2 linked regions of the Astyanax mexicanus genome follow. The protein of the gene in region 1 purifies or fractionates together with the protein of each later gene. This does not show direct contact. Links are inferred from orthologs where the notes say so. Each region holds a gene or a part of one and is shown in the gene's direction. Other genes may lie near its edges.

Region 1 (11,724 bases):
AAGCTATTCTCATGTCATTTCTTTTCGAACTGGAAGTCAATTTAAGGATCAATGGTTTACTTTCCTATTTTTTCCGAAAGTGTTTGTTTCTACTGTATTTGGCTCATCAACGTGTATCAACACCCCCAATAAACGGCTAAAATAGGCAACTGTACAACGCCAATGGGTCACTTTGTATGCAAATATCCGATATGTTATTTGGGCGGGGGTGGGAGTGGATGGGAGGGTACGGGGAGGAGGGGGTGTCTCTTGTTGTCACTTGCCACCCAAGACGTGATTCATCCTCAACAATTACCATTATCTGTTTGCCTACTTTTCACGAATTCTTACGAATCTGTAATGATGAAGAGTGCTTCCTTCAGTCATTGTGGACATGGCTGGACCATTCTTCTGCGAGTTCACACACATACCCCTGACTGCGATTTAAGCACTCGAGTCACTGAGGTACTTAGGAGGGCCCAGGGAGGAGACACCACTGTTTAGCAGCTCTAAGTGGTGTTTATATAAACAGCGGCGCATCAGTGTACACACACTGTCACTTACCGAGCCTGACCACTCCACAGCTACGCTTCGGATACAACTCTTTGGGAAGGGACACATCGGCTGGAATTACAACCCGATCCACCCAATGGCTGTGCCCACCAAGTTTAGCTTCACCGTAAGGAGTATTTTGGACTTACCAGAAAATGATGCCGAGAACGCCAATTGCCTTCCACCTCTTCATGCACTGACTGGATCTCCGTACTCGTCCTGGACGGACAGGGACAGGGGCCACTGCGTGTGTAAGTCTGCATAACAAACAACACTGGTCGAACTGTGAATAGTGTGCTAAGAGAGAATAGAAAATTTTCGTTTGGTTTATTCTATTGGTTATTTTTTTCATAAAAATATTTTAAACATTTTTTCAAGTTAAAAATGTCCTGAATATAGGTTTTACACCTTTTCAGATTACAAAAGTGTTTCACATTAAATCACAATGGTGAACCGAGAACATTTTTTTTACCATTTATGAAATTGTGTGTTTTTGTTGAGTTAGCGATAGTGCTAAATAAAGGGCTCATACGAAAGATTTTATACATATGTAAAGAAATGGCGATAGTTAATTATATTTTTCTGGGCCTTATGTTGAAGTCACAAATTTTCTTGTCATCCTACTATGACCAAAGTTGTTTTCTTGTGATCACAACTTATTTTTTGTACCGTGTTATCATGACAAAAAGTTGAGAAACCAATACTGGTTATTCACACAAAACTATGTTCTCTTAAGATCACAAGAAAAATAAGTTGCTTTTCTGGACTTCTGCTCATTCATACATTTTTGCTTCGTCCTAGATGTCTTGTAAAAAAAAATAGTAATTGCATGCATGGGTTTTCATTAGGTTGTGGTCTGGTAGGCTATTTTATCTCTTTTTATTTATTAATACTTCAAATTAAATGTTTATTGCTTTTTATCTCTTTAGCCTCCGATGAGAGCAACCCCGAGACATCCCCTGACTCTACCGGCAACGGCGAGGAAGCCACGGAAATGGAGCAAAAGAAGAAGAAGCGACGCGTGCTGTTCTCTAAGACACAAACCTACGAGCTGGAACGGCGCTTTCGCCAGCAACGCTACCTGTCTGCGCCAGAGAGGGAGCACCTGGCGCGCGCGCTGCGACTCACGCCCACGCAGGTCAAGATCTGGTTCCAAAACCACAGGTATAAGATGAAGAGAGCACGGACAGAGTGTGGGGTCCAGGAGGCCGGTCAGCCACCGTCTCTACGCAGGGTCATTGTACCGGTTCTGGTTCGGGATGGGAAACCCTATCATACTTGCGTCGCAGAGGCAGAAAAGGGAGTCTGCTCGATCCCGCCCTATGGGCTTCAGAGTTTCCAGCGCATCCAGCCGTTCGCTCTTCTGCCCCAGTACCAGCACTTTACTCAGGACCACAGACCTCACTTCCTCTGGTGAACCCTCCGACATGGATCCAGCGTGCAGGGCGCCTGTTTGGACTATTATAAATGTATAGTGTAAACACTGACTGAGTAAATGCAATTTGCACATATTATATTTTATATTTAGGAACTAGTGTATTTGTTTTCTCATGTTTTCTGTGAAGTTTTGTTAAACTACGTACTGAAAAACTGGCTGTCAGGCCAAATGTGTGTGAATATATATTATAGTAGTTAAGAAGATGATTTATGTTTTTTATAGAAACACGAAATATAAGATAAGAGAATAACTGAAAAACTGGGCATCATATCAGAGTTAGAGTTTTTTTTGTACAAAAAAATAAAAATAAATGTTTTGAACTCCTTATTTTAAGCATTCCTCTCACTCACTATAAAACACTGTTAGAAGTTTGTAAGTAAAAATGAAACCTCTTTAAACAAAACATTCATGCTGGTTTATGGTAATTTTATGGTGTTCGGTGCTTAGTTAAAATGTATGTGGAGAGAACCCACTCCACCAGTGTAGTAGTATTATGTTTTAATATCTAAAAATAATTAAAATAATTTAACAAATAAATGAAATGATTGCTTTAATTCAGACCTCACTTCAGTTACTGTTCTTTTTGGACACATTTGGTTAATCCGGGGCATTGTTATGTACTATTAAAGATTTGATGGTGCTGTTGAAGAGTAAAGTGCCCAGCGAGACGCAAAAGGCTTTTATAATGTTAAGACTTTCACTTCCACCCAGCAGAGAAGAGCAAACACCAATCCTGAGTCGTATTTTAAAACTCAGCATTAGAATAGCAGGTAAACATTGCAGGATTAGGCCTGGACACAGACTAGCTCTTTGACCGGGCAGCTAACTATTTATAAGGATATCAATGTCCATTCTGTAATTCACGTCATGATATATATGGAAGAATTAAAGATAAATAGTATTTTTATTATTTTAATGCAAGCGTCCAAATCATATCGAATAAAATAAAATAATGTATGGAATGCACCCTACAAATGCGAGCTATAACATAAAATAAGGATCTATTGAGATGGCTATGTGTCTGCAATTACATTCTCTCTTCCAGGCTGCTTTAGCCACAAAGCTGTTCGTCATTAATTGTAGAGGTTGTTGCGCATCTTCCGTCACCTGGCCTTTTGTCCTGTCTCAAGCCACCTTGCCCCACATATGGAGGCCGCCGTGCTGGTGACTGGAGCGCTCTGGAGCGCCTTCACCGCTTTTTGTTTGGGTCTCCATGTGAAAAGACCATTGTGCAAGCTCCAAAAGGACCTAGACAAAATCCTCAGTGTTTCAATTCTCATGATGTTTAATCAGTCCTGGGTGACAAATTTATGGGGTTTAAGCACACAATGGTGTTTTAAAACTTGGTGGGCTTGGTGAGAGTCACAAAGACAGGCTTTAAGAGCTTTCTGTAAAGAGAGAATGTGAGAAAGAGGGGGATTATATTGATAGGATGTGACTTTCACTTACATTCTTCTTAATGTATGTTTATAAACAACAAAAGTTAGCAGAAAATGTTTTATAAATCACAGGGGGTATATTAGTGAGCGAAGAGGCTAAAAAAATTAAAGGATAGCTGGGGATATTTTAAATTGGAATACTCATAATTCACTGCTAGACTATTTGAAACATAATAGTTATGCACTTATATTCTTTTTAATCATATAATTTAAAATACGTGCACAAGGGAATGACAACTATATAACCAGTACTGTGTAGTTTATAAAATAGCTAAATGTATTGTGTATAAAAGTGCTGGTTGTCAGATTTGTCTTTTTCAGCATTTATCTAATCTGAATTGATATGCATCAGGCCTCAGAGCCTCTTAAAACGACGTTACACAGTGTGTTTGAAAACCCATTAAGAGTTTTACTATATTTTTGTGATGAAACATTTTTGTCTCCAATGTACCAGCATGATTACATCATCAACCTCTCATAAACATATAACATTTGGGAGTAAATAAACTATTTGAAAGCTCTGGAATATTCATTTAAATGTTAAGAAATCTAAGGCAATGGACACGTCGTGGGTTGAGGCTTAACGCGCCATTGGCTCCATCTTGAGGTCAGTCTTTTTTGCTTGGTTTCTACTGATACAGGGTTAAGAAGTACTAGAGTCCCTAGTGACACCCTTCCCAAAGAAATTGCACAATATTGTCCACTAGGTGTCAGGCCTGCACTGTGATTCTTCGTGTACAGGGGCAATGGATAATCAGTTCTGTCAGAGCTTTTGAAGAGACGCAAACAGGCAACGATTTCCTTATTACTATTTCCATCACACATTCTTCTCTGTCTCCTAAGACACAAGTGATGAAGAGTGTAGAGCTCATTTGGTAATTTTATACATTTAGATCCACTGATCAGAAATGTAAAGCTCACCCTACTGTCGTTCATGAACCGACATACAATAAACCATGGGTTTAGATTGAAACAAAAGCTTACATGTGCCCAAATACAGCGTTTGTCGTTGTGTTTTTTCCAAGGGACAAGTGAAAGCATTCTGTCTAATTATAGTTAATTGACCATGATAGCCGTGCTCCAGCACAAAGGATTCTGCCTGATGTAGATAATTAAAAAGGCTTTTGAATACTGGCTTAAGGAGGCCCAGGACTTCGAAGGAACGACGTTATGAGTCTAATTGTTATAATTGCTTGTGCGAAGTACACTTCATTACCACCGCGAGGTGCCAAGGTGTCTTCACCTTCTACCAGGCCCAACAGATACTGCCACAAACAAACTAAATTAAACTGCCACTACAACTGTGTGGCAGCTGGAGTTAACATAAGCGAAGCAAAAAAAGCATAAAAACGATCGAGAACTGGTTAAAATTGTGAAGAGTTGTTTGTGTTAAACTAAACCGATAGTAAATTAATGTAAACGTAGAAAGAAGCGCTGTGGGACTGACCTTGCTGACGTTTGTTCAAGATATAACCACCAGAAGACGCTGTCTACCCTCAAGTCAAAACAATAAAAGAGAGCCAGAGAAAGCGGGAGGGAGGGGGCTAAAGCTTTATATTTTTACATGCCCTATCTGGCGGCAATTTAATTAAACTGCTATCATTTTAATGTGGTTGCAGGGGCTGCAGACCAGGCTCAAAGATTGAGATTTACACGTTACGGATAAGCAATATTTTTAATTCTGCTTAATTTTTCGTCAGCCTGTAGTGAAACCTAATGAAGAATCGCATGCGCTTTACATTACATGATTAAAGCGGGTAGTCTGTCAGATTGATAGTATTGTTTCAAAGATATTTTTGTATGCATATTTTTTTTATATTTAAATGTGGTTGCCTGACATCACCGGTTGTCGCCCGATCGATTTCCATTTAGAAATAAATCTAAATTAATAGAAACTGTCATGCCATAATACCACAATCTTTTACACATACTCTGAATGAATACAAAATACTGCTCGAACATGTATTACTAACAATCGCCATAATATTGTTAATAAAACATTTGTTGTGTTAATATTTATGCACTAACGCTAACTCTTGTTTTCCGCTACGTAGGGTTATGTGAACATTTCTAAATGTTTTTAAACAGTAATTTTATTAAGCAATCAACACACACTCAGCTCCAGATTCACTCTACACCACATTTGCTTACTGGTTGTGTTAAAGGTTGTATTACTCTCGTGTATGTAAATCACCTGTTTGAACAGGAGGGAGTAATTTCAGATTTACGATTCTGCTTACCTTACGGTAAGTTACCGATCACATCTAACACAATCCACCTGGCTGGTAGTTTATTAATAAAATAATAACACTTATAGAAACGAAAAATAATGTGAAAATAACTATTGGAAGAGTAGAAAACCCTGACATTTGCACATAGCAAACAGACAAACAATAAAGAAATAGTTTATTTGCAAAAAAAACACATAAAGGTACTTTTAAGGTATGCACTTAGCGCTCATCAGCTGTTGAAAATGAACTTTTCACATTAACTGCTATACAAATTGTTATAGGTCTAAATAAAACAACAACAACGATAATAATAATAATAATAATAATAATAATAATAATAATAATAGTAATAGTAATAGTAATAATAATAATAATAATAATAATAATAATAATAATAATAATAATAATAATAGTAGTAGTAGCAACGGAAATACACAATAATGTACACAATAATAAATAATTATTTGACATTATTATTATTATTATTATTATTATTACCACCACTAATAATAATAATAATAATAATAATAATAATAATGATTGTAGCAGCAACGAAAAAGTCCACATAATTTACACAGTAATAAAGCATTATTTGATATATTCTTCCTCTTATTATTATTATTATTATTATTAGTAGTAGTAGTAGTAGTAGTAGTAGTAGTAGAAGTAGTAGTAGTAGTAGCAGCAGTAGTAATGTTATACTAACCCAACTATATACATGTTTTTATACATATTTAAATAAATATGAAAGATCTAACTGATCCGTTGACCTGTGTTTCTGTAGTTATCAGATATTCCGTGCTGTTCTAAACGGCTGCAAAAATCTGCTGCTTAGTGTCTTAATAACTAATTCAGTACAGAATGTCTCCAGTACAGGAGGCCACATACTGCGACCAGGCGCAGTGAGCGGAGCTTTGTGTGTACCTGCCTGGCGATAAAGAGCTGGAGAGCTGCAGGCTACTTGAGCGCCGTTAACTTTACCTGAGAGCCTCTCCTCCTCCTCCTTCTTCTGTCGAGCGGGTTTCTTTAACACTGCGCGTCTGTGTGGAGTCGATGGGAATTTGGACAACACTCTGCGTACGCCCAATAATGTATCACACAGAAAACCGGAGAGTTAATCATTCACGCAGCCTCTTAACACGCGCATATGTATTTATTTATTTATTATCAGTTAGCGCTCCTTCCTCACTGCAAGGGCACTTTTGCATGTCTGAGTACGATGGGGCAATAATGTAAACACGCCTGCAATCACCACAAGCCTCTTGTGGCCATTAAAAGTCAGGAGTTCAACTCAAGCTTGCCTCTCTGTTTTTTTTTTCTTCTTTCTAACAACTGAGTGGGTTTTCAAAGATTCAAGTCTGCGTGTGCACTTCTCATTAAGAGGGCCCCCCTCATAAACATCACTCCAACCGTCAATATTCCATCCATCACTTTGTTCCCCGACATTACCCCGAGAGCGATAAAGACATTTACACCTTGAAAGTGAAACCAGCACACCTTCACGCGCTGATGGGGTCTCGCATGTGCGCGCGTTTTGCTGGGTTGGGGGGATGGCAGGGGCAGCTCGCGACCACGTAATGGGGCTCTTTGCGTTTGGTGCACAGATGACAGCGTCGCTTTGTATTGTTGCCCTCGCTGCTGCTGATGCCCCGCCTCTGATGGTAGTCTTAAACCTGGCACCCAGCTAAAACAAACGAAAGTCAGCCTCGAGCTCCCACTCAAGCCAATTAAGGCGGACTCCAGGCTCCCTCTTACGTGTCCAGCTCGCTGCACGAAAAGCAACAGGAACCAGAGGAAGCTGGCCAGCGACGAGAAGGGACGGCTTCGCTTTTGCCTTCTAATTTCTTCCCTCGCCAGCACAAAACAATGTCGATGAGCCCCAAACATACGACTCCTTTCTCAGTGTCCGATATCTTGAGTCCTCTTGAGGAGAGCTACAAAAAAGTAAGTATGGAGGGCGGCAACTTGGGTGCTTCTCTCGCCTCGTACAGACAACCGCAAGTCACGCAGGCGACCATGCAGCAGCACCACATGGGCCACAACGGGACGGTGCCCGCCGCCTACCACATGACCGCGGCTGGGGTTTCGCAGCTGTCTCATACGGCCATGGGAGGCTATTGCAACGGGAACCTGGGCAACATGAGCGAGCTGCCCCCGGCTTATCAGGACGGAATGAGGGGCAGCACGACAGCCACCAGCTGGTACGGAACAAACCCTGACCCGCGCTTTTCTACAAGTAAGTGCACTTGAGAACGCATGTCGTCGTCGGCTGATACGACAGGACGCGAGGTGTCACATGCACCTTTTTTGGCACTTTAGGAATTGACTCGGTTTTCACGGAGGCGACTATTTTTCCTTTAGTCAAGCTATTAGGTAGTTTACACTAGTTCAGGAGAACACCTGTATACAGCAGTACAGCTAACCCTTTAGAACAAGCTCCTTTTAGAAAGTATGGCATACGGTCCACATGCACGGTGTCGGGTGAGGTTTACTGCTCACGGCTGTTTTCGCGGAGTTAAAGGAGGCAGGTGTAGTAGCTCAAACAAATCCACTCAGCCCGTTAACGAGCTCTTGAGCGTTGACCCTGCTTAAGGCGAATGTAAGAAAACGGGATGAGCATCACGTATGCATAATTGGCGTAACTGGGCGTAGTGAAAATACCAGAAAGAAAATGAATGGTATTGATTATTACTGATTTTTTTTTAATGATATTTTACTATTATTTTGTCTAATTATCATTATTACTGTTATTATTTTATTATTAATATTGTTTTTGTTGTTATGCTTTGTATATTAAAGTTTTCGTAAAATTATTTAATGTCAAGTATTCTTTATCATCATTACTGTAACATTACAGTATGATCTGCTGTATTTAATTAGTCCTCTTTTCTTTCAGTCTCTCGTTTCATGGGTTCCTCCTCTGGCATGAACATGGGCAGCATGAGCAGCCTGGGCTCTTTGGCGGACGTGGGCAAAGGCATGGGCTCTCTAAGCAGCGCGCCTAGGAGAAAGCGTCGCGTGCTTTTCTCGCAAGCTCAGGTCTACGAGCTGGAGCGGCGTTTCAAGCAGCAGAAGTACCTGTCCGCGCCCGAGAGGGAGCACCTGGCCAGCATGATTCACCTGACCCCAACCCAAGTCAAGATCTGGTTCCAAAATCACCGCTACAAAATGAAGCGGCAGGCCAAAGACAAAGTGTCTCAGCAGCAAATGCAGCAGGAGGGCGGCTCGTGTCAGCAACAGCAGCAACAGTCCCCTCGGAGAGTGGCAGTGCCAGTGCTAGTCAAGGACGGCAAGCCTTGCCAAGGCAGTGGCCACACGCCCAACAGCGCCGTGCAGAATCACCACCACCAGGGAGCCAACGTCATGATCATGTCCAGCAACGGCTCAATGGGGCAGCATCAGAGCCAGCAGGTGGGCAGTGCCGGACAGTCCCCAGATTTGGGGCAGCACGGCGCTAGCCCCCCGTCCCTCCAAACTCAGGTGTCCGGTCTGTCACACCTGAACTCTTCCGGTACTGAGTACGGCGCGGCCTTACCCTGTTCCGCTCTGCTTTATGGCAGGACGTGGTGACGACGGAGTGGACAATAAAATAAAGCAGACAGACAAACGGACTGACAGACAGTAACTGTGCTACCCAGTCTCGGCGTCTACCCTGAACAGGTCAACGAGAAAACTGAAATAATCAGATAGTCATGCGAACAGCGGCTGTTGCCCATTCTCATGCTTGACCCCCTAAATTTTCCTCAGACTGGTGGGGATACAAAAAAAAATACAGGCAACGAGCAACAATTCAGCTCTTTCAGACTGAGAAAAATGAGATGACCTTTCCAGGATGTGCGTCCAAAGATCGCGGAGTAGATGGAATTATTTATAATAGCTTTTAAACGGAGACAATAAGAAACCCACATTCCCGACGGATTAAAGCAAAAAACCTTTTGTCCCCTACAGACGCCTCCTCTCAACCTGACTCTTATAGATTGCAATGTAAGCCGTAGCTTGTACATTTCTGTAAAATGGTTGAATTAAATACATAGTTTTTAGCGATATGTATATTGTATAAATTTTTATCAATATTGAGGGTTCCATGTTATTTGAGTTCCATTTGTATTTGTACGTTTCATTTCCTTGTAACTTATAGATATTTGACTTAAATGCAGTCATACAATCATATTAATAAATTATGAAAAAAAATCTAATTCCTAACACGCCTTTAGTATAATTGTTTGTCAGAATTTAGCCAATTATGCATAGAATTATACAGTCATAGTGTAGTTATATCATAGCATATTTTGTTTTAAATTTTGAAAAAAAAATGTATACATTTAAGGACCAGTTTTGCTGCAACATTTCTGAAATGCTCTAATTTTTCTAAAGTGTGTGTGCCCCATTTGAGGACAGAGAAAGAGCTAGCTACAAAATGTGAAGTGCGTTTATTTTTATCTCAGCCAAGAAGGTCCCTTTTTTACTGTGTGTAATAGCTCACATTCTCTCTTGCAGAAGAAAATGCCTCAGAATTGGCACCCGCATTATAAGTGCTCACTTACCCCGCAAAAAATCCGCACATTATTTCACGCTCGATACCTTCAGTTATATTTGAAAGCCTTAATCTTGTTTGTCTTTTGCAAAGGTAAACCGAAAGCAGAGCTTTTGTGAAGTCGGCGCCCTTTGGGGTTTCTTTTCTTTTTACCGCGAGCGTTTGTCTGGCCACGAGTGAGTCAGTAAAGGTGAGGTCTCCACTCCTTTAAAAGCTGCGCACATCAAACAAACGCTCCTAAAAGCAAGCTTATCAATCAGATCCCTGACCAAACAGCAGTGCTCCCCTAAATAACAGTGTAAGACAATATACACATAGTCTATCAATACAGTGATGGGGAGAAGCTAGGGGAAAATGCAATGGCCCTCTTGTTTACGTATTGATAAAGTGTATAAACATTATGTATGTGCGCGAGCGCGTGTGTTAGTGAAGAGTAAAGGGCTATGGTAGCCTAGTTAGAAAACCACTTTGGACACACCTGTTTTTTTCCTGATTGTATTTTGATGATCTAAGATTTTTCGAATAAATGTAAACATATTAAATGTAAACATATTCATTAAATACGTAACCAGAATATCTGCTGCAAATTAGACTAAAGAATAGCGTCCGGGAGAAAAACAATCCCACGTTCTATACTGCAAAAGTTCCAGTCAGTATGTTGTATTGTGCATAATTCTAATTTTATGTGGAGAATTGCCTGAAGTATTCTCCAGTGAAGTCTAATTTTCCTTACAAACTTTATGCATTGAGGTTTTAAACAAAGCTCTAAACGAAAAGTCCTGTGCTGTGGTCAATATAATACACCAGTTTCAATCATCTCAACTCATATTTAATGTGTACAAAGGTAAAAAAAAAAAACGTATGCTATACTCGTATGGTTCGTGTAATAATTTGTTTGAATTAGCCTGTTAAAAGATGTTTACATTTCTTGACAGCTCATTAATAGTTGTCGGTGCATTTGCACATTAGGTTCACATTAACTAAAACGAAAGGGACAGCTGATAAATGCTAATTCCCTTAAAGTAGTGGATTGGAGTTTTCCCCTGTTCCATTGTACTCTGGGACTCATACGGAATCCTGGCAGCTGTTTATTCCACCTGGCGGCTTGTTTGTTGACAGCTTAATGTGCTTGCATTTAGATGGCTTTTTAGAGAGGTTAATGTCTTCAATTCTTTTATATGGAGAAAACTCGGTACATTGAAAATTAATTCGGGGAATGTAGAGAAAGAAATTTTTGAACAGTTACAAGCTGTAAGCCTAGGCGGCTCTCCAACCCATTCTCACGTGTCAAAATCAAGAAGCGGCTGAACCTGGTGAACGTATTTGTGAATAATACGGAGGCCCAGCAAGCCACAGCGACCTTGCGTCAGTACTGGAAGGTTTTAATGCGTCCCTGATTGTAATGGCGCATTTCTTTTGAATGAAGGGTCGTTAAATCAGCCGATTCACTTTAAATCAACAGTTCCTCCATCGTTGTCGCGGCCCTAGGAACCTTTTTTTTTATTTAGAGCTATTAAATATTAAATAATTTGTTATTGGCTGAATCTATTC
Region 2 (12,156 bases), about 4.9 Mb from region 1:
ATCACAATTTGGCCCTTGTCAAAGTAGATTCTTATGTTTGCTCTTTTTCTTGTTTTCTACTCAACTGACTTTTTTCTTGCTGTTTAACTTTACCCAAACCAGAAGAATTTCCATGAAAAAAGCACACCGGTACCATTAAATACAATATTTTGTCCCTTCCTCACTCGGAAATTTAAGAAACAAACTCGGAAGTTTAGAAACAAAATAATACATACTGTCACTTTAAATTATAGAATAATAAAATGTGAATGGAAAAACAGATAAGAAACAAATCACACAAATTTACACAAAAGGCAGTCTAATGTGTAGCTTTACTTACCTGCTTATCAGAAATATCAAAGACCACATGTTCTCGTACCCCTGGCTCAGAGGTATGCAGGTCTCCACATTTGGTCATTTGGTCATTCACTGTGTGTCCACTTTCCTGCTTCATCATATCTGATACTGCTTTCTCTGTCACCCTCTGGTGGTGGATCTCCTGCAGTCCCCCAGTTGCAATATTTCTGGCCTCCTCTAGTAGTTCAGTGACAGACTTTATACTCCGAATGGTGCTGGTGGCAGAGCTGCTTTTAGAACTACCTGAGCTGTGTTCTTTAGAAGCCCTCTCCTCCTGTTGCCTATCCGTCAGCTGTCTTCTCTTTTTCTCGCTTTCCTTTCTGCATTTTCGTCTATCCTGTTCATACTCATTACGATCCACTGTAATTTCATCAGAGCTAAAGGAGTTCAGCAAACAGCATCTATCCAGAACTGTTAAATACTGACCCTGATTTCTAGGAGCTTGCTTCTTTTCACCTGACAACTGCTCTGAAGGAGTCTGGTTCTTAAAAGCCCCCCCTGCTGTTGAAGGCTTCTCTGATCTAGGCTTAGCAGGAGGCTGAGGCCTTTTGGACAGAGATACTAATCTAGCGGTTCCTGCAAGAGATGCTATAGCTGGCGTCTTCACCGCCTCTTGTCCAGAACCAAGCTTTGGTGAAGTCTTTTCACTTGTGGACACATTTGGATTGATATTTCTTTTCATTTCGGATGTCTTTGAGTTATTATCTGACTGAGTACCTTATTGAAAAAAAGGCTGAATTAAGGAAGGTCTGCTTGAACTTGTAAGGAGCAGGACACAAGTGGCTCCCTGGTGAATATCTGTAGACAGGTACCTTAGGTGTAACCTGAGCAGTTAAATGTGTTGTTTTACATAAGAGGCTTGTCATTTGGTGAAACTCCTGTGGAGAATTTTTAACGCAGTTCTTCGATCAGTTTCTTCATCTTTAGCTGCTCACTGTGTTTAATGTCCTCACTGTTCCTGGCATGTTGTCTGTATGAATACATAATCCATCAAAATAACAATGATGACAAAACGAAACAGTTCAAGAATGTACTATGGGTTGCAATTTAATTGACTGTTTTAGAATTAAATTATTCATTGTCTATAGCACGTGGCAAAAATCACTAGCTAAATAAAAAAATAAATAAAGCGTTTCTGTACTGATGTAAGTGCTATTTGACATCAGTCACAACTTACTTGCTGTATTAAATGTGTTGGACCAACTCTATGCAGACAAAAAAAAAACCCTATCAAACACTGAAACTTTCAATTAAAACGTTTTTGCTTCATTTAGATTCAAAGTAATAATACCAGAAAGAGATTATTTAAAGAATTGTTTTAACAGATAGCATATTATGTACTTACTTTTGACAGAATTCAATGAGTCACAAAACCACAAAATAGTAAAAATAAAAGCTACAATATTAATTAAGTTTTCAAACCTTTAGTGGGAAACATTGGTTTTAAGAATGAAACATTTTATTTAACAGTACAGGCAAGGCAATCTAGCTAAACTGTAACTTGGCTGTTTGATTTTTGTTTTACCTGATTCTTTCTGACTCTTCAGGTAAGTAAAGGAATCAAGGCCAAAATGGCTGTAAGATTGCCACCTTTTCAACAGAATGTTAGGCTTTATGTTGTTTTTAAAGTTGTCGAACGTAAAATACGGTAACATTATTACCGTATTAAAACTTCGCATAAGTATTTTTTAGAACTCAAGGTATGTCTTTATCTCTATATTCAATCGAGTCTAAAGCCTTGAAGTGTCCACTCGATTCCCAAATGACTAGAATAGACGAACCGACTCCTTCTGAAATCGACTCCCAGTCCAACTGTGACGAAACGAGGTCATTTTCGCGGTTCTTTGGTCACGTAAGTCGAGAGTAGTTGTTTATATAATTTTTTTTATTATTTATTTGCCTAAACTAAGCTACATATAAGGGTTAAGATACTTAATTGCAATCTTTAAACGGAAGCTAAGTGCTGTAAAACATGTAATTCTAGGTTTGCTTCACCGTTCACACAGCATGCGTTTGTTGTTTCAACAAATGAAAAAAACACACAAACACAACTGCTAGTTAGCTAGCCTTCTGGTGTTTCCAGCTAACCTTCTGGTGAAGCTAGTCATGATGACATATTTCAAACACTCAGCAGACAGGCCTTTTCACTATTATGTAGCTCTATGGACAAACCTCCTTTTTTTTGGAAAGTTACCAGCTAAGGTAAAGTATGCTTTAATGGCACTGAATTAGCAGAACAAGCAGGGTAACTTAGCTAGCTATCTAATACTGCTTTCATGTGCTTGTCGGTTCATGTTGATGTGGTTTGTGTGGGAGATTTAAATATTATATGTGTTGTGTGTAGATGGATAAAAATTGTGTTAATATTAGAATTAACGTACAAAAGCACATTAATGTTTGATATTTTACATTATTTACATGCTTGGTGACGTTGAAAAAAGTTTAAGTCACAACTGCGGCCTGTGTTGGCTGATACTCTGTATCTGTTCTGTTTCTCATTATTCCTTTCTTTTATACTTACATTTAGGTGGTTATGACTTTAGATGCTGAAATCAGCAGTGTTGAGGGTAAGTTACAATGCAGTGTCCTGTTTGTAACACTTATCTAACTGTGTTTCAGTCTTAATGTACCCATAATTCAAAACAAAATTCTTGCATTCAGAATTTGGGCACAGAGCGTGACATTTAAAATCATTTAACCCTGTGGTGTGAGAGCTAAGTTAAGCTAACTGACATGGTCAGCTAATGCTAGTTGATCTAGCTACTGAGTCACTTTTCAAATTTAAATAAGTGCTACCTTAAATAAATTGGCTCTTACCTTTAACACAGATTTCTCTCAGGACTAGTCGATCATTCTGGGTTTGTCACTGCTGCTTTTGGTTATGTGGGGCTGAAATGTAGCTAATTTTCTGATCCTTTTCAGAGAGAGACTTTATGAAACTTTCCTCCACTCACTCTCTCAGCGCGCGGGCCAGCAGCCCCGTCTCCTAGCAACCAACCAGTAAACCTTGCTGTGGCAACGGGGCGCCGGACACTTAGCTATATGGCAAACCTGTAGAGCACTAAACTGAACTGCTAATGTGTTCAGACTGAAAACACGCACATTAATAACTACACTGGATTATACCTGGAAACTCACACGTTTCCAGTAACTGCTGTTTTATCCCGTTCCCGTTCTGTTTTATCCAGCTCTGAGAAAAAAGAGACCACTTAATGATGATGAGGTTCTTCAATTTTACCAAATTAAAAACCTCTGAAATATAATCAAGAGCAAGATGGATGATCACAAGCCATCAAGCCAAGCTGAAATGCTTGATTTTTTGCACCAGGAGTGGAATAAAGTTATCTAAAAGCAAAAAAATTATGAATATGAATTGTTTTCTTTGCATTATTCGAGGTCATCTTTTTTGATATTACAGTCATTTCTCATTTTCTGCAAATAAATGCTCTAAATGACAATATTTGTATTTGGAATTTGGGAGAAATGTTGTCCATAGTTTATAGAATAAAACAACAATGTTCATTTTACTCAAACATATAAAAAGCAAAATCATAGAAACTGTTTTAGAAACTGAAGTGGTCTCTTAATTTTTTCCAGAGCTGTAGGTTTCAGTGATGGAAAAATATGAGAATGCTTTTTTCTCTCTGTAATGCACACACAATAAGACATTACTATTCTAATATAAAAACTATTAAAAAAAAACGAATTAACTAAACATTTTAATCCTAAACATGATAAAAAAAAAGTTTTCTAAATCACAAAGAATTAGTAAAAAAAAGAGCTTGTAATGCTTTGCCTCATTTGTTCTGTAGTACTCACATGCCCTAATGTCCGAGTTGCAGATTTTTTTTTTTTGTCCAGTGCAGTGGGCAGTGAAGCTACTGTTTCATTGGCTGGTTTATGATCCATTCTAATGGTCAACCTGTCTCAATTAGTGTTATGTGCAAAAAAAGTTTAAAAAAGAACAACATTATGTCTATTGTAATTGAGGCAGGGTCTGTAAGGGTTATGTAGGATTCTGACAATTTTTATTTTGTGGGCGAAATGTCATCCAAGAAATGATATTATTGTAATTCTAACAACATTTAAATGACATTGACATAATGATAATAGAATAGCAATAGAATATCAGAACTAATTATTCATACCCTTTTAAAAACATCAGCATTTTAATTAATCAGAGTTTGGGAAATATTTACTTTTTTTTTTACCGTACTGTAGTTCACACTGTGTGTTTTGAGTCACTGATTGCAGTAATTGATCATTGCATGACTGGCTAAAATACTGTTCACTGTTATATATGTTATATACAAGCATACAAATAAACACAATAGACATCACGATTAGCAAATATTATAAAGATAATGTTAATTTACTGTAAGTCCATAATGTAATCCTGCCTCAGCATTCTAGCTGAGATATCAAATAAGTATTTTACACAGTGGTTAGCTACATTTACCAGTGTGAATTTAACTCTGTGAGTAGGCCTGTCATGAAAACTTTTTGTGAAGGATATATTGTCCTAAACATTATTGCGATTAACAGTATTATTGTCATTTTTAGACCATATCAATGGTATACCGTACTTTTTGAATAAACTTTTAATTAAAACTAGTTTAGGAGAGTAACCTTATTTCTTTGCCTGCCACAGTTACACTTTTTGTGCATGGAGTTATTGCTGCATTGGTCATTGGTGACTAGATAAAATATTGTTCAAGTTAAGTTGCATGTGAACAACCGTGCATTTTAATGACATAACGTTTATCAACAATTAGAAAAAAAAACAGTCACAGCCATATATTGTCATAAATAAGTCGAAAACGTAATTATTGTGATTAATTGGTTTAATTTAATACTAATGGTAAATTAATTGTGTATCGCTTTAACACTGGCAAATTAAGTTTATACAAGCAGCAAGTGAACGGTAAACATAAAAAACTAATCATTCAATGTAAAAAAGAATACAATGTACACAATTTTGTGAACACAACATGAACACAGTTGAGCAGCACAAAAACGTTTGACATGTTTCGTCAGTTTTGTATCACGGTTGCTATTATGCAGCTAAAGCTAAAAGTATTGGAGGTCGAATTAACGTAAATATACTGTATGTTATGTACGGTAAGTTATAATTAATATTGTAGCCTTTGCGCTATAATCAGTTAGCCAGCTGTATGTTTGCAGTGAGGGGAAATTTGGTTCTTCTCAACCTCAGCATGCATGCAAAAAAGAAACGCATAAACAACTTACAAAAAACTAAATACACACAAAACAAAACAACAACAAAAAAAAACCAAAATGAGGCTGTTTAATAGTTCTACATAAAACGCATAAATGATCTGATTGGGCTAGGCTCGCTTTTTCTAAGCTTGAATAGCTAAATGATAATCCACAGAGAGTAAAAAAAGGCCTTCATGGCTCAATCCATGAAATCGTGCCTTTGGTTGTGCGACTCGCCGTGTAGCTCCGGCCCAGCGCAGTGAACCCCCGGTCTCAGGGGGCGGTGATAACACGGTGTAATGTTCTGCCTGAAGAGCCGTTTCATTCCGCCCCGTGGAAAATCGATTTGTGCTGTAATTGTGTGAGAGATCACTCGGAGATAATCCGCTGTAAGTGGATGATGAGCGCTGTTATTCGCTCATTAGCAGGTGTGCAGCTACAGTGGGGAAATGTAAGCCTTGTTTATCCGGGAGAGGGGCGGGATAGTGAGAGCAGTTTTAACTTCTTTATACAACACGACATGTATAAATAACACCACCAGCACCTTTTAACATTTCCTAAAAGAATGTACCTCTGAATCTGGAAAAATCTACAAATCTAAACAATTATTTCATACGATTAGTTATAAAAAAATACATTTTCTGTAGGCGTTTAAAACACGAGCCCCGCAGTAAGAATTTGAAATGCATAATGGAATAGTTTTATTTATTTAAGTATGATATTTCCAAATCATTAAGATTTGTTCGTATATTCGGGAATATATATTACAAAACTTTGCCAAAGTTTTAAAAACAGCCCCACACCTTTCTGTCCGAGGGCATGAGGGATATTTAGATGTTAGTTGAGTGAGGAGAGCGACCTAGGCAAATGAGCCCGTGAAGTGGGCTGTACCGCTCTCTACGTAACAGCGAGGGGAAGATCTCCACAGCCCTCAGCTCACTGCGCTCCCAGCATTTCTTCAGTCCGCCCAAACCGCCGCGCAACCTCCCACCCCTGATTGGCGCACCATTCGCCGGAGCGCTTGGTGAAAACTTCTGTCTGAGAACTGCATGTTGACGACCTGTAGATTTCCACCATAATGCTAGGAGCAGTGAAAATGGAAGGACACGAAACTCCAGACTGGAGTAGTTATTACACCGATGCGCAAGAGGTACGTGTGATGACTTGTGTCTACTGTAATGTAATGTGGGCACTGCAGAATTTAGTCCAGCAGTTTTAAAACAAGCGCAATGCAGATTTTATAGTAAACGCGTTTTTATAGTCAGATTTTACTTCAGTTCTACTTAAACATTAATCTAAAGCCTGGAAATGAAAATAGGTATTTTCCAGTTGTTAGGTTTTCTAATCAGGTCCTACATCACTGGCCGTCCCACTTGGTGGCGGTAGTGATCCCGGTGTGCACTAGTCGTTAGAATAGTACTGTTCTAACTAGAGTACTGCTGAAAATGCGCGTTTGATTTAAAACTGCGTTTTTAAATATTAAATATGCTTTAAAGAATGTAGTATTTTTAATATTAGGCAGATGTATGTGGAGTCATTAAAAATATTTTAAAATATTGTATACGTTTATTTGACAAATATTTAATATAGTTTCAAATTTCTGTGCAGGTTTGGTAAAATTAAATCACTATATCGTTATAAAATAAACTAAAATTAGTTAACATTTTTCACAGATTTTATTTTTAAATGCAGTGAAAATACATGTTATATAAACTCTTAAAAACGATTTCTAGTGGTTTATTATAAAGGCAATAGTTCTATTTAACAATATATCAACTAAACGTTCAAATAATTATATAATGAATAGTTTTATACTTTGTCTGTTAAAATATTTGACATTTTATATTAGGAGATAATTTTATGGGTTTATATGTCTATATCTATTTAAAATGTCTCAACCCGTGACCACAAAATACCAGGTCTTACCTCAGTGAATATACACCTGGTATAAACTATATTAATAACACAGAGAACAGAAACTTTCATTTAATTCTTGTTAAATAATTATAGTACAAAGCAGTCACACTAAAATAATCTGTATGTCATAATGTTCCTCATTATTTCTTAGTATTGTTGTGCTGATTTATTTGTTTCTTTGCTTATTGATTAATTCTGTTCTCTCTAGTAAACAAAGGCTGTACAATAATGTAAAATATGCATATCCTTCACATTTAGTTATTTAAGTATTTACTAAGTTACTATATCACAAAACACTGTTCTTGTTAACGAATATTTATTATGTTTCATTAAATTTATTTATGTTTATTAAATTTCATTTCAGGTGTACTCTCCCATGACAAACAGCAGCATGAACACTGGACTGAGCTCCATGAACAGTATGAACAGTTACATGAGTATGTCTACCAGTGGGAATATGACCTCTAGTTCCTTTAACATGTCTTATGCGAACCCTGCTCTAAGTGCTGGACTAAGCCCGGGGACTATGGCAGGGATGCAGTCGAGTGCAAGCAGCGCAATGAATGGAATGAGTGGCGGGGTATCATCCATGGGCACGGCACTCAGCCCCACCAACATGAATGCGATTTCAGCCCAGCACAGCTCCATGAATGCACTGAACCCCTACTCAAGCATCAGCCCCACTATGAGCCCCATGACATACGCTCAGCCCAACCTCAACAGGGCACGGGACAACAAGACTTTCAGGAGAAGTTATCCTCATGCCAAGCCTCCATACTCCTACATCTCGCTCATCACCATGGCTATCCAGCAGTCACCCAGCAAGATGCTCACACTTAGTGAGATCTACCAGTGGATAATGGATCTTTTTCCATACTACCGTCAAAACCAACAAAGGTGGCAGAACTCCATCAGACACTCACTGTCTTTCAATGACTGTTTTGTCAAAGTGTCTAGGTCGCCCGACAAGCCAGGAAAAGGCTCTTACTGGACCCTGCATCCTGATTCTGGGAATATGTTTGAGAATGGCTGTTACCTACGTAGACAGAAGCGCTTCAAATGTGACAGAAAGGTAGTAGGAAGTGGGAAAGGGCAAGATGGGAGAAAAGACCAGAATGGGTCAAGCTCGCCCTCGAGCGACAACTCAAACACAAAGACCGGGCACATGGACTCCAACTCCATAGCCAACGCAAACCAGTCCTCTAGCCCTCACAGCTTGGAGCACAGAAGCAGTACCACCAACTCTGAACTAAAGAGCAGCGGCCCACAGATACACCCCGTGGCCAGCTCAGCCACATCTCTCTCCTCTATCCCTTTGCCCCCGCACTCTATGGCCCATGAGTCTCAGCTGCACCTAAAGGGAGACCCCCATTACTCTTTCAACCACCCATTTTCCATCAATAATTTAATGTCCTCCTCGGAGCAACAGCACAAACTGGACTTGAAAGCTTACGAACAAGCATTGCAATATTCATCTTATGGCTCAGGTATGTCTTCCAGCCTGCCTCTAGGCAGTGCTTCCATGGCCGGGAGAGCCAGCATGGACCCCTCTGCTTTAGAGGCGTCTTACTACCAAGGTGTGTATTCAAGACCGGTTCTTAACACTTCTTAGTTGCTTCTTTTTTTGTTGTTGCTGTTCTTGTCATTATTTGCTGAACTCAGCCCTTGCTGACAGATAAACTTTATTTTATTTTTGCATGCACCCAGTGCATAAAGGACTGTTACTTTAAAGTATAATAACGTGTATGTGTATAATAAAATATTGTAAAGTGTTCCCCTGAATGATTGTATATCCCACCTATAAATCATTGCTAGTGTATTTAAGGCGATTTTAAGCTTGTAAAATAATGTTGTAATCCCCAAACTTGTAGACCCCTACCTACTATGATGTGTCCGTGTGTTACAATGTGCACGAATGAAGGTCAGTTATGGTCTTGTGGATCGCGCTGCAGGTAAACAAACAAAAAAAAAAGAAAAAGAAAAAAGGTGAAGCACCTCTCTGCTGCAGATGTATTTGGATGTTGTCCTTTTACTCGTTCTTTTGGGTTTTATTTACCTCGTTTGAGAAGAACATTTCAATCCCAATTCTTGTACTGAAGTAAGTTAATCAAACGTGGAAATGCATTACGAATAAAACACGTATTTCTTAATCACGCCAGGCAGTGTTCGTGGCATCTTTATGTTTAGAGCTGACTGCATATTTTGCAGGGGTTTACTGCCTTTAATCGGCGATCACTAATGCGGTTCATTTGTTATCTGTGTAATCTCAAACACAATTACATGTCTGTTATCACTTTTATAACTCAGGCAATGTATAGGTCAATTTAATGTTTTTTTATGGAGTATATTTGTTGAAGTGTTTTGTCGTGTTACCGTTTTTGTGATCAGTTTATCAAAATGTAATTCAGGAATAATTGGAGATGAATTCCAGTTGAAAGTGTGGGATTCAGTTGTGCGTAATTTATTCTAACACTTTATTAAATAAATCTAAAAGAAAAAATAAATATATCTAATACAGAAGTTTGGGGTAAATAATAAGGGGGCACTGTTGGTGTTCGGTGGTCTGTGTGAGGGGCAGCAGTCTCGGCTGAAGCGCTTTGGCTGAGTGTATGTGCTTTGACTGCGTGTTGGTAAAAGACCAAGAGAAAATCCAAGTCTAACACAAACGCAGCCTCAAAGCCCCGCGCCAGAAAAGATCCGATCGCCTTTTAAATGGGATTTTTAACAATATCATAGAGAGGCCAAATCATCTTTTTGTCGAGCGTAACCTACAAGACGGCCACGTGAACCTGAACAGATTTTACTTTGATCATGGTATTTTGTAGACACACATTTTGGCTGACTAACCGTGAAATTCATTTAATTATCATGTAATTGCCCCCCGATGCGTAAATAAAATGAGGGAAATGAAGTGAGGGTGGAGTTCGGACGAACAAGTGAGAGTTTACTCGGCTCGTTTTACATTTTTCTTTATGTATTTAATATTTACACACTTAAAGAACATAAAAAAATTCTAGTGTAATATTCTAAATTACAGCGCGCGTTATTTTGTATTAGGCCGGATTGTTTAGTTGATCATATGATCCTGAAGAAAAGCTAACGAAGACAGAAGAAAAACTGCTCAAGCACTCCTACAACTAATAACGTGTAATAAAAACCCTTAAATGGTAAAACAAAAAAACAAAACAAAAATAAAAGCCAAATCAGTGCAAGGAATAAATAATACATTTAAGAAAAGTGTAAGATTTTATTTCATCTAATCGGCTCGGAATCACATTGTATGAACGCGCTGAGCGGCATAACCGATTTAATACACTATTTTACTCATTACCCTATTCTAAATGAATTTGAACATTTTCAATATAGATTTTAAACTGTATGATTTATTTATTTATTTATTTTTCCACAGATCATTTACGGACAGTGACCAGTCCCTCTAAATTAATGGCAAAAAAAACAGAATAATTTAGGTAAAATGCTGTAATAGTATTAGATTTTGCAGATTTCTTTTTTATAAAACTATGTTTTTAGTGGATAACATTTGAAGTGTTATAAAGTGAGCCTGTGCGGAGCAGAGTTAGTAGTCTATAACACAGTAAACCCGGCTCTGCTTTTCTGATATAGGCTTTTATATGTATGAGGATGCTCTTGATTAATCAATTAATTTAAATTACAGTAAGAATAATCAAATAGTATGTAAGGTGAATTAAATTGGTGTTGTTGGAGATGATAAACTGAGCTGGATTTACTGAAACAATTTGAACACGGAGGTCATTGTAAAATACAGATTGAGAGACGCGCTGACAGCTTTCTGATCAGAGATGAGCTTAATAATAAGATGGTTTTGGAAAACTGGCCCTTAGTCTGTCCCTCACTCTGTCTGTCTGTGTATATTTGAATTGAAGTGTTTTACAGCAATAGGGATAGGAGTGGAAATGAAACTGCTTAAGAAATAGCTTTGAATTACCGTAGTTCATAGATTAATAATATACAAACTCTAGCGTATAATACAAATTATAAACTAAATTATTGGCATATCTAATTGTAGTTTATAATCAAATTGTAGTACGATACTATCAAAAATGTGGAGTATGAAAATAATAATATAAGAATGATTACAAAAAATATTACTAATATTATTATTATTATTGTTATTATTATTATTAGTTTGTGATATTTAAGTGTAGTGTAATAAGTACAATAATATTGTGGTATAGATATGTTTATTGTTTGTTTTTCTTGATAATTACACATCTAGGTCAGGTCTTACTTTTTCACCCGATTAGATGTAGTTGGAATTCTTTTAAAAGCTTCAGTATGGACTATGGGTTCTCCTGCTCCACGAGGCCGATGGGTCTTCATTAATGTGTAACATATGTCAGCAACAGCCAGTGTCCAGCCCAGAGACTCCACCAGCGCCCTGTTTCTCAACTTATGCGGCGTTTTTGCCACCCCATCAAAAGCTCTGGCTCTCTCTTCGGCCTTATGGACAGAAATGTGTTGAACAATGCGCAGAGCCCTTTACTTCAAAAGCGGCCATGAGCGGCCTCGCCGTGGACCTTTCTTCCCCGGCCTTTCATTCCGAGTTTAGAAAGCCACTACAGGGCCAAGGCGCTCCTAATACCTTTTGATGGGGATTGAATTAATTATCTCCAATAACACAATTGTGCTTGGCCAACGAAA

What was found.
Region 2: the proteins of nkx2.1 (region 1) and foxa1 purify together in Homo sapiens (affinity purification with western blotting; 3 studies listed by BioGRID and IntAct, with this or other methods). This does not show direct contact. The link is inferred for Astyanax mexicanus from reciprocal best matches to the Homo sapiens genes NKX2-1 and FOXA1.

The regions. Positions count from the first base shown.
Region 1 is NC_064421.1:23,804,534-23,816,257, reverse strand, and holds nkx2.1 (homeobox protein Nkx-2.1), read left to right. Parts: upstream 1-7,103; 5' UTR 7,104-7,505; coding exon 7,506-7,875; intron 7,876-8,535; coding exon 8,536-9,209; 3' UTR 9,210-9,685; downstream 9,686-11,724. Other genes in the region: nkx2.9 (NK2 transcription factor related, locus 9), read left to right, coding at 629-782, 1,461-1,948. UniProt on the Homo sapiens protein: Transcription factor that binds and activates the promoter of thyroid specific genes such as thyroglobulin, thyroperoxidase, and thyrotropin receptor. Crucial in the maintenance of the thyroid differentiation phenotype.
Region 2 is NC_064421.1:18,932,010-18,944,165, reverse strand, and holds foxa1 (hepatocyte nuclear factor 3-alpha), read left to right. Parts: upstream 1-6,356; 5' UTR 6,357-6,634; coding exon 6,635-6,706; intron 6,707-7,837; coding exon 7,838-9,085; 3' UTR 9,086-9,626; downstream 9,627-12,156. Other genes in the region: uncharacterized protein ttc6, read right to left, coding at 320-1,018. UniProt on the Homo sapiens protein: Transcription factor that is involved in embryonic development, establishment of tissue-specific gene expression and regulation of gene expression in differentiated tissues.